Drosophila melanogaster: one gene and its partner. The protein of the gene in region 2 interacts with the protein of the main gene of each other region in a biochemical or structural test. Each region holds a gene or a part of one and is shown on either strand. Other genes may lie near its edges.

What was found.
Region 1: the proteins of CG12096 (region 2) and PI31 interact in far-western blotting, tested with the Drosophila melanogaster proteins (one study listed by BioGRID).

The regions. Positions count from the first base shown.
Region 1 is NT_033778.4:11,966,828-11,972,366, forward strand, and holds PI31 (proteasome inhibitor 31 kDa), read right to left. Parts: upstream 3,289-5,539; 5' UTR 3,199-3,288; intron 2,024-3,198; exon of another isoform or gene 1,913-2,023; intron 1,828-1,912; exon of another isoform or gene 1,653-1,827; 5' UTR 1,625-1,652; coding exon 1,457-1,624; intron 1,405-1,456; coding exon 1,010-1,404; intron 953-1,009; coding exon 703-952; 3' UTR 516-702; downstream 1-515. Other genes in the region: ADD1 (ADD domain-containing protein 1), read left to right, coding at 4,155-4,248, 4,311-4,779, 4,898-5,539.
Region 2 is NC_004354.4:13,157,843-13,163,462, reverse strand, and holds CG12096 (uncharacterized protein), read right to left. Parts: upstream 3,650-5,620; 5' UTR 3,581-3,649; coding exon 2,430-3,580; intron 2,374-2,429; coding exon 2,004-2,373; 3' UTR 1,546-2,003; coding exon of another isoform or gene 1,256-1,545; 3' UTR 1,181-1,255; coding exon of another isoform or gene 1,107-1,180; 3' UTR 1,049-1,106; coding exon of another isoform or gene 894-1,048; 3' UTR 836-893; coding exon of another isoform or gene 691-835; 3' UTR 609-690; downstream 1-608. Other genes in the region: Lgr4 (Leucine-rich repeat-containing G protein-coupled receptor 4), read left to right, coding at 1-207, 284-398, 691-835, 894-1,048, 1,107-1,180, 1,256-1,545; Bap60 (brahma associated protein 60kD), read left to right, coding at 4,090-4,197, 4,266-5,549, 5,610-5,620. UniProt on the Drosophila melanogaster protein: Acts as a chaperone during the assembly of the 26S proteasome.

The DNA of each region.
Region 1 (5,539 bases), on a different chromosome or scaffold from region 2:
GGGAATGGGACTGAGCGTAGTTCACACCGCACCTGGGCGGGATTTTAGCCGGATTTTGAGCGGCCAAGGCACAAAACACACCACAACACTTGCACATCCCGGCGTGAGAGGGAACGACGCCTACCGTGCAGAGCTAATTTAAGTCAACCGGCTGCACACAGCTTGAAATATTATTTACATTATATTAATTTAGCAAAATATTATGGTAAAATAATATTAGGCTAGGCATAAGCAGCAACAAAAAAAACAAGAGTAATCGCAAACCATTGTAACATTTAGTGCCGTGATTTTTCGCGCTTTTCCCCTAGCAATTTTGAGATTACGCACTTGAGCCAATTTTGTTTACCCTGTTGTACGAAATGAATGAATAGCCATTACATCACGAGTTCAGTTAAGCTTTTAAGTATATTGTAAATTTCTCTTGAGCAGCCGTCAACTCAACTGGCCTGTTTGCGTATTTACTTGATAAATGTTCTTAACTACGAATTTTTCTAGTAAAAACTCAAACAAGCGTTGTCTAACAGGCTGCTGTTTTTTATTTTATATCTGTAAAATTCTGTAATATTCTGTATTGTGTATGCAACGTAATAAAAATAATCTTTTAAAACAATCCGTTTAATTTTGGTCTTCTAAAATGAAAACTTTTTTCATTGCTTTAAACTAAAGATTTGAATTGCTCACTATACATGGCATTCCTGGTAATTACATGTAGTAATCGGGATTCCAATCTGGTGGGCGCATATGATCTGGATTGATTCCACCCTGTCCCGGCCTATTCGGGTTCAGGGGATTGAACGGGTCGAAGCGGGGCACGGGTCCCGGGCCCATATTTGGGCGTGATGGAAAGCTGAACAGGTTACCATGACCACCGCGACCCAGTGGATCGAGATCCCCGCGTCCAACGTCCGGAAATCCAAAAGGGCGAGGCTCGAATGCACTTGGAATGAAGGATCTAAACGAGGGGAAACGATTAACGAGTGTATAAAAAACTATCCACAAGTGTTCTTACCCGCCACGCCTTGGCTCGCCGATGCGCAAGGGATCTGGATCCGATCCAATGGGGCGTGGTGAGTTGGTCGTCTGCGTGGTAACTTCGCGCGAGTTTCCCGTGAATACAGGGTCTAGAAGCTCCCTACGGTAGCGTTCAACAATCTCTGAGGCACTCGGCATTATGGTGGTGATGCCTCCCTTGACCTCAGGTACCAGGGTCTCTGGTTCTACGCAGATGTTGGATACCTTCTTAGTGTTGATGTCCAACAGGTTGATCAGCAGGGAGCCCTCGGTGATGTGGCCCAGCAGCAAATACAGCATCTTATCGTGCACGTAGCGCAGCGAGTACTTGGTATCGTCATCATTCCAGCTGTCCGGCAGCAGCTCACTGCCCTCCTCCTCCGGCAAGGTTTTCTATGGAATTCCAGATGATTTCACTAATATGCGTGGCCATAATCATACTCACATCATCGCCAACGCCAACGCATCGGAAGTTGTAATGCTTGGTCAAAAGAAAATGGACGAGGGCAATCAAAAGGTCTGACTTCTTGGAGACATCAGCCTTAACGGTCTTGTACAGCAGATCCCAACCGTAAAAGAAATCGCCCGTCTTGGCAGTCGACCCACTTTCCATTGCGGCCACCGATAATCCTTTACAAAATCTGGGTGGGAGTAAACAGAACGAATGGAACGTTCTAATTTATGCTTAGTATATATAAATATGTTTACATTTCGTTTGCTTGGAGCGACGTCAGTTTCAATATCTGAAGCCCACTACAGAAAGTATAAATACTGAATAAATTTCCAAGACAACCTTTGCTTTAAAAGTTTTGTAAACAAAATAATGAGGAAAGAGCGAGAAGTTGTTTTTAGCAAGTTACCACCACATTCTCAATTTTTATTTTAAATCTTTTGGACGTACCTTAGCTCAATGTTTTTTAAAAGGATCTATATTGTTTAAATAATAATAAATTATAAATGACTTTGTTAATATTGCTGCATCTTTGTGAAAATAGAACTAGTGCTGGGATAATCGATATTATCGAGGTATCGGATATTTACTTTTCTGAGCCACTATCGATGGTTTTTTGTCGCTATCGATAGTGCTGTTCATTTTTGTTAAATCAACTGATGGTAAGACCGCGAAATATTCACAATGTGGAAAAGTTTTAATGTGTGACTCCAAGCTACGACTCGAGTTCTCGTCGGATAGCAGAACTCGGCGAGTTATCATGAAGTATGTACATAGCCACTGATATGCGCACATTTTCAGTAGTGGAGGACAATGGATTTCGCGATATACTGAAAGCATTTGATACGCGATATAAGCTTCCATCTCGTAGGACATTGAAAAATTTTGTAATGCTTTTTAATCCGAAGTACTCAGAGGAAAATACAGATCCTCTAGAATATTGGAAGGTAACTATACCTATTTGAGAAAAACATTTAAAATTGCTAATATTTTTATTATTTTAAAGTTATATCGAAAATTTGCTCTCCAAACATCGAAAATATCGAATGGCGCAACTATCGATAGTTTCCCATCACTATTTATTAAAACTGGAAAAAATTTATTGCCTTTTTCAATTTTCTAATATCTCAATGTGATTTATCGATATAGTTATCGATACAGATTTCATATATTAAATCTTTTAATATACAAAATTTTGTGAGAGTAGAACAAACATTAATAAAAATATATAAATAAATAATAAAAACATTAACTTAATACTAGCAACATAATTGTCAAGGTATTTCAAAGGATTCAGAATTTGCTTCGGGCTAGTTATAAATTTGCTTATATCGTAAATACCAGACATAAAAGATTTATTAAATTTCTAATGTGATCCATATGTTCATATTTTAAATATTTTGAAGAAGTCAAGAAAAGTAAACAGTAATTGTAACATAGAAACGATGAGCGACTATCAATTGACTTTGTAATAAAGAAATTCTTATATATAAATGTCTATTTATATATTTATATATTTAAAATAGTAATAGGAAATGCTTAGTACAACATCTACATGTTCATAATACGAAACCTTACGACTTACTAATATGTGTACAATTATAAAATTCCCTATTTCTGACTGATTATTTTGATCAACTATTCATTAAGATTTCCTCGTTCAAGTTATTCGAGTTACTTTAAGTTATTTTTACTGATATTTTGACATTGTGGAATTTATGTTTCCAAAATCTTACTTGATTTATTTTTAAAAGTTGTCTGAAGATCAGTTGTTGCGTTCTGAAAACTTGTTTTAATGATTTTATGTGAAGTCATGATTTACTAATTCTGTTAACTCGATATGTTTATACGGTCTCACATATATCGATTGCCTGGAACCAGTTCGCCAAATGCTTTAGATATCTCAAATATTTCTTATGCGGGAGAAATTAAAACGTTAAAAATATAAAGCAATTTGGAATATTGATTTGTTTAAAAAATTCTTGTTTTTCGTAAATAACACATATATGCTGTCTCTTTCTTAACGCGTTCGGATTCTTATGGACGGACGATGAGTGTAAAAGAGATGACTAGTAAGTTTAGGGTTGCCAAGGCTTGCAAAGACTAACGAATACGAAAACATTCTTTAAAATATAAAATATATTTATCAGCCTTTAAAACGATAGAAATGATTAAAAAAAATTTACAATAAATGTTGTGATATTAGAGTGATATTATAGCTAATTTAATGATCCTCTGATGCCAAAAAAAAAGAAATATTCTTTTTGATCAAAATTTTAGCCATGTTTTCCTAAGAAAATTTTAGAGTATCGGTCCGAACTTGTTATATAGACTTCGTAGAGCCTACTTCGGCTGGAACCCGAAGGGGCAGCCATATTGAATTTGATGCGGAATATTCAGCTGTCTTTCTCGGGTGAAAAAATCTGACACATTTTCGAGGAGACTTGCTGCGAAGCATTCAGTACAGGATCTCCCAATAATATTTTTTCCCGGTTTGCCCAACTAATAAATAATTGTAAACACGCGTCCCTTGCAGCCCTGTTGTTATTGTGTTGCCAAACATAAAAGTGATAAGCGCGCCGCTTTTTTCTGCGGCGGCAGCAGAAAATCGTGAATTTTTCGCGTTTTAGAACAAAAATTGGTGCGGATCGCAGTGCTCTAGTCCAAGAGGCCCGGATACGGAACAGAAGTCATGAGTAACAGTGCTCCGGGTAGCGAAAGTGGCCTGGCAAAGGTAGCGACGCCGTCGCCATCGCCACTGGCCAAATTGGATGCGGATTTCACGAGTGAGTACTGGGCATCAGCCAAGTGGAAAATTGCATATAAATTGCATATACCCGCAACGCAGGCTCCAAGTTCGAGATGCACCCCTCGCTTTCAGACGAGGAGCGCCGCTTCTACCTGAAGATGTACCCCAACGTAGATCTGGTGAACCAGCGAAAGGTGCACTGCACCGTGTGCAAGCTTCACCTGGGCACAGCACCCGCCGCCGAGAGCAACATCAAGATGCATCCCATACTGCGGGTGACGCACTGCGTCAAGTGCCACGATTTTTACAACAGCGGCGAGTTCTCCAAGGGCGAGGATGGCTCTGAGCTGTACTGCCGCTGGTGCGGACAGGGCGGCGAGGTATACTGCTGCTCCACTTGCCCCTACGTCTTCTGCAAGTCGTGCATCGTGAAGAACCTCTCCAAGGGCGTCATCGTGGACATCGAGCAAAACGAGAACTGGAACTGCTTCAGCTGCACCTCCAAGATCCTGTGGCCACTACGAGCCCAACACTGGGCGCTGGTCAACTATCTTCAGACGCAGAAAAGGTGCGGTTTTTAGTCCTACTTGTCTATGCTTATGGCATCTTTAAGTCTTTTCATTCATTCACTTATCATAGTGATTAATCTCTTTCTAAATTGACTTTTCTTATTTAATGTAATGCAGGGCCCTACAAACCCTTCAGCTTCCCGAGGTGGAGGCCCGACGTCAAATGCTTAAGGATAACAGCAATTGCTGTCGCTTGGCGAAGTCGAAAACCAGCAGCTTATCCGACTCGATGGAAAGCTTGGAGTCCAATGTCTCCAAACGCAGCCAGGGCAGCTCAGCGGGCTCGAGTAAACGGGGATCCATGCCAAAAACCATTCCTCCGGGACCACCATCCAAGCGCGCTAAAGCTTCCAACAACGAAGTGGTCTGCACACCGGATCTGCTCAGCATGCTGGAGCCGGATTGCCAGCTCTCTGTGACGCCCAAGCCTACTGGACGTCAGACGGTGACAGCGGCAAATATCACCACTCCGAGGATTGTCACCGTCCAACAGAACTACCAACCGGGACAAAGTTCCAGCAACAGCGGCAGCAACGGAAGCGTAAGTGGTTCTTCATCAGTGCCACCGACACGTAGTAGCCTGCCACCTCCCTTGGTTCTCAGTGGATCTGGAATCCGCTACCGCCAGAATGCCCCTGGTGGGGTCTCTGGTGTGGTACGTCGTACTGTGGTTCCCAACTCTGTAAAAACCACTGGGCCAGTCTTTCACACAATCAATGGGTTCAAAGTAGATTTAAATAGCGCTGCACAACAGGATTC
Region 2 (5,620 bases):
TTGGCAACCTATTGGTCCTGCTCGGTCGCTACTTCTACAAATCACGGAGCAACGTGGAGCACTCGCTCTACCTTCGCCATTTGGCCGCCAGTGATTTCCTCATGGGCATTTACCTCACATTGATTGCCTGTGCGGATATCAGTTTTCGCGGCGAGTATATCAAATACGAGGAGACCTGGCGGCATAGCGGCGTTTGTGCCTTCGCAGGTGCGTATCCTTCGACATCCTAGCCATTTCCATTTCGTAATGGAATGCTAATGTGTATTACGTATTCGCCGTGTAGGCTTCCTCAGCACCTTCAGCTGCCAGTCGTCGACGCTGCTGCTCACATTGGTCACCTGGGATCGTCTGATGTCGGTGACGAGGCCCCTCAAGCCACGGGATACGGAAAAAGTTCGGTAAGTGTGAACTACAATAGATATGTAATAAAGTGCTGGGCAAAGTTATTGTTTATTCTATTACATTAATTACTTTTGCTGCGGACATTTGCTGATTTGTTGACTGCTCAAATATCAATGCACAGAATTTGTTTACCCTACTTGAATTTTGTTCGTAAATGCAATTATGTTTGTTTTGACCGCCGCCTTACTATGTACAATATATATTTTCTGTTGCTTCATTTTAGTTTGCAAAAGCTATGGTTTTGTATGTGTAAGCTATGATAAATTATTGAAATGACAACTTCCACAGCATTGTCCTACGCCTTCTGCTGTTGTGGGGCATAAGTTTCGGATTAGCTGCAGCTCCACTTCTTCCCAATCCGTACTTTGGTAGCCATTTCTACGGCAACAATGGTGTCTGCTTATCGCTGCATATCCACGATCCCTATGCGAAGGTAATACACCATTTCCTTGGAAACGCCTGTTCTAATATTCCAAAATGTATATTTTTAGGGTTGGGAGTACTCGGCGCTGCTGTTCATCCTGGTCAATACGTTGTCACTGATCTTCATCCTCTTTTCCTACATTCGAATGTTGCAAGCGATAAGGGATTCGGGTGGCGGAATGCGAAGCACTCACAGCGGTCGCGAGAATGTGGTAGCAACTCGGTAAGTTTGGATAATTCAAGTAAAATGATTTAATTATTGAAATATCATGTTTTTACAGCTTTGCCATCATTGTGACCACCGATTGCGCCTGCTGGCTGCCCATAATTGTGGTCAAATTGGCTGCTCTTTCAGGCAAGTTCATCGGCAACGCCTTTAAATGATTTATTTTGATTATCAACTTATTCGTATATATATAACCCCTTTCAGGCTGCGAAATCTCGCCCGATCTTTACGCCTGGCTGGCGGTTCTTGTGCTGCCAGTGAACTCGGCCCTCAATCCAGTGCTCTACACATTGACCACTGCGGCCTTTAAGCAACAGCTGCGTCGCTACTGTCACACCCTGCCCAGCTGCTCGCTGGTGAACAACGAGACCCGATCCCAGACCCAGACTGCCTACGAGTCCGGACTGAGTGTCAGTCTGGCGCACTTGGGCGGTGGTGTGGGCGGCGGGTCGGGGCGAAAGCGGATGTCACACCGGCAGATGAGCTATCTGTAGGCGGGCGCAACTGGCTTAAAATGCAGCACGAGATCAACAGACTGGGGCTAGTGGGTGGGTGGCATTACAACAGGACACTTCCATGTAATTGGTCCCTTAGACTATTGGTATTATACGTACTTATTGATACTTATTCTAATATCAATTTTAAATTACTTATAACATTTGAGGATATGATAACATAAACCTTAGACAAGAGATTCCAGCTATTTAAGTTTCTTTTTTGTATATTATTTATTTTACCAATCGTTTTAAGGCAAACCTCTTACAACTGTCCAAAGAATATCCTAACTATTTGTTGCATCCCCATTTATTCGACCTGCCCAATGGGATATTGTTACATGTGATCTAATAGTTAAATCAAATTTTAATTTTATAAATACATATTCAGATGTTAATTGAAGCTTTTGAACATAGGACTTGCAATCGAAGGCCGCAAATGCCTGCCATCCGGCTTTCTATGCGTTGCCCTGAGGTTCAGTGGCTACATCGAGATCCGCCTGGACGTGATAGGGTCCCTCGTTCACATAGGCCGTGAAACGGATGGTTTCGGTGGGCGAAAACTCAGCGCTAGCGGACAGAATCTCCATAATTTGCCACTTCATATACTTAATGTCCCTGTGCAGATCCTTTTGACGCGAAAGAAGGAACTCCACAGCACCGCCGGTATTCTTTAGAGCTACAATGCCCCAGTTGTACTTACAAATGGTTTTCAAGAACGACAAGGCGGCCATTTGAAGATCGGGGAACGGAGTGTTTATCAGGTCCATAATGATATTAGCATGCGCTCCCCCAGCGAAGCACTCGTACCAGTTTTTACCAATGTTACTGAAAAAGAAGAGAATCATTAGAAGAAAAACTTCAATTATAGAGTTAAGCATTACATGATTTCTGTGGCAGGCGGCGTCTTGAAGTCATAAATCACATCCAGGGAGTTGAGCAGCCTCTTCTTGATGTGCGCCGATAGCTTCTTAGTATGCGAGCCATACTTCTTAAAGGACTTCTCCATGGCCCCGCTAAAGTGCATGTTCAGCAGTATCTTGCCCTGTGGAGTAGTGGCCAAATTGGCAAGCGTATCCATGGCAGTGGGCAGAATACTCTCATCCTCCGATTGAAGCTGCATGAACAAGCAGGCCAGCATGTGCGGGTAGCCGCCAATGATTTTCAGAGGCTGGTATACGGAAATTTTGCCGAAAAACTTCATAATGCTGGGAACGAGCAGGGCGTCTAGCGGATGCTCTTCGACGCGTTGGACCCGATAGCTGATTATATCCAAAACGCGACGACGTTCCATGTAGGACAGACCATGGTTTTGTTCGGCCAGTGGCACTAGGAGCTCCATTACGCTAGCCTGCAATAAAACATCGTCGTTATCCAGTTCGCTGAGAGCCGCATCCAGAATAAATGTAACGTCACTGAGTAAGGTGGCACTTTTCTTGGCCAGGACCACTGCCAATTCGTAGGCGCGACAGCGCACGATCTCATTTTGCTTTAGGAGCTGTACTAGCTTTGCCTGCACATCGGCATTGCTGATTCGCTGAGGCAGCACGATGGATAGGATATTGATGGCCAGAGAGGTACTCTGCGTATCCGGTTGTTTCAGCTCGTCCAAGATGAGGAAAATAAGCTCATTGTTGGGCAGGGTGAGAACCTGACCGACGGTCAACTGGCGAAGCAGCTTCTTGAACAAACTGGCCAACACCTGGGCACGCAAGGCTGGATTCGAGTGGGTCAAGCCACGTCTTAGCAGACTGGACAGCTGCTCGTCGGCGGTGTCCATCGCCAGCTGATCAAGGCAGTGGCACAGCAATTCCAGGGTCACGTCCACGGCCTGATCCTTGGGAACATGGGAATCCGCGGCGGGATTGGCGCAGTCATACAATTGGTCCGTGGTCAGCAGGCGTTCAATTATTTGACGCGGAAGAGCCGCCTCCTTTGCGATGGCTGAGTTCATGGCGGTCAGCGCATCCAGCCTTTGTGGCTTCGACTCCAGAGCCTTTAACTTGGTGACCCACCAATTGTCTTCCATTTCCATTTGTTTTCTGTGTTAAAATGACAGTCGGTTTCAAACCTATCGTTCTTCGATTTCAGAAGACGTTACTTGTCCGAACTTATTGGCGACTATCGATATTGCTTATGTTTATGGCTTGACACTGCAACTATCGAGCGTTTGGGCAAACCAATGTTTTCGATCGATAGTAGCAAGTGCTAGTATATTCCTTATCGTATTGTTTGTTTGTTACAAATGTCTTGAAAGTTTTTAAGTATATTTTCAAAGCCAACTATATAGCTGTAACTCTATTGAAATGAATAACTTCGATTAAAGTGCAAAATGATAGCCGCAGCCCTGCCAAACGTTGTAATATCTATCGCCCAGTCGACCACCACCAGTAATAGTGCATCCCTGTTTTGACGCCATTTTACAGGCGAAATTGTGTGTGTGTTTGACGCGTTGTTGTATTGAAACAAAAAGGCAGAAATTTTCCTTCGTCTGCAAAGGGCAATTGTTTACGGCTGGAAAAAAGGGAGGACTTCGTAGCAAAGATGTCGCAACGCTTTGCACCTGGCCAAGCGCCGGTGCAGTCGCGTTATCAGCCACCACCACCGGCGCCCGGCATGCGTCCCTATCCGCCGCCAGGCGCCTCTTTTCCAGTGAGTTTTCCACGCATTATCCAGCACCTACCGTTTCAATTAAGCATGTACAATCTTATCCGCAACAGCCGCGCGGGTTTCCCCTGCATCCGAACACTACTCAACCTGTTCCCGGCACGGCGAACGTGGCCGGGGTACCGGGAGTTCCTGGAGTACCCGGCGTACCGGGACCATCGCTACTGCAGCGCGCCGCCCAACAGCCGGGCTTTCAGAGCAGCCTTCGCGGTACTGGAGCCGGAGGTGGCGGTGTTGGATCCGGCGGAGGCAGCAAGAGGTCAAATGAATCCCGCAGTTTGGGTGGCGGTGGTAGCAAAAGTGATTTTGCGACGGCCAAAAAGAAAAAGAAGCTGGCCGAAAAGATACTGCCGCAGAAGGTGCGGGATCTGGTGCCCGAATCGCAAGCGTACATGGATCTGCTGACGTTTGAGCGAAAACTGGATGCCACCATAATGCGCAAACGTCTGGACATCCAGGAGGCCCTCAAGCGCCCCATGAAGCAGAAGCGCAAGCTGCGCATCTTCATCTCGAACACATTCTATCCCAGCAAGGAGCCCACAAATGATGGCGAGGAGGGCGCCGTTGCCTCTTGGGAATTGCGGGTGGAGGGTCGCCTGTTAGAGGATGGCAAGGGCGATCCCAATACAAAGATCAAACGCAAGTTTTCGTCGTTTTTCAAGTCGCTGGTTATCGAGCTGGATAAGGAACTGTACGGTCCGGACAACCATCTGGTCGAGTGGCATCGCACTCACACCACCCAGGAGACGGACGGGTTCCAGGTGAAGCGGCCGGGCGATCGCAATGTGCGCTGCACCATCCTCCTGCTGCTTGACTACCAGCCGCTGCAGTTCAAGCTGGACCCGCGACTCGCCAGGTTGCTGGGCGTACACACACAGACCAGGCCGGTGATCATATCCGCCCTGTGGCAGTACATCAAGACGCACAAGCTACAGGATGCCCACGAGCGGGAGTACATCAATTGCGACAAGTATCTGGAGCAGATATTCAGTTGCCAGCGGATGAAGTTTGCCGAGATACCGCAACGCCTCAATCCGCTGCTGCATCCGCCCGATCCGATTGTGATCAATCATTTCATTGAGAGCGGTGCAGAGAACAAGCAGACTGCCTGCTACGACATCGATGTGGAGGTGGATGATACGCTCAAAAACCAGATGAACAGCTTCCTGATGAGCACTGCGAGCCAACAGGAGATCCAGGGGCTGGACACCAAGATCCACGAGACGGTGGACACGATCAACCAGATGAAGACGAACAGGGAGTTCTTCCTAAGCTTCGCCAAGGATCCACAAATGTTTATTCATCGCTGGATCATCAGTGAGACGAGGGATTTGAAGGTTAGTTCTTTTTTTTTCTTTTTTGCCTCATACCGTTGTCTAAACCTTTCGTCCTTTCAGCTGATGACCGA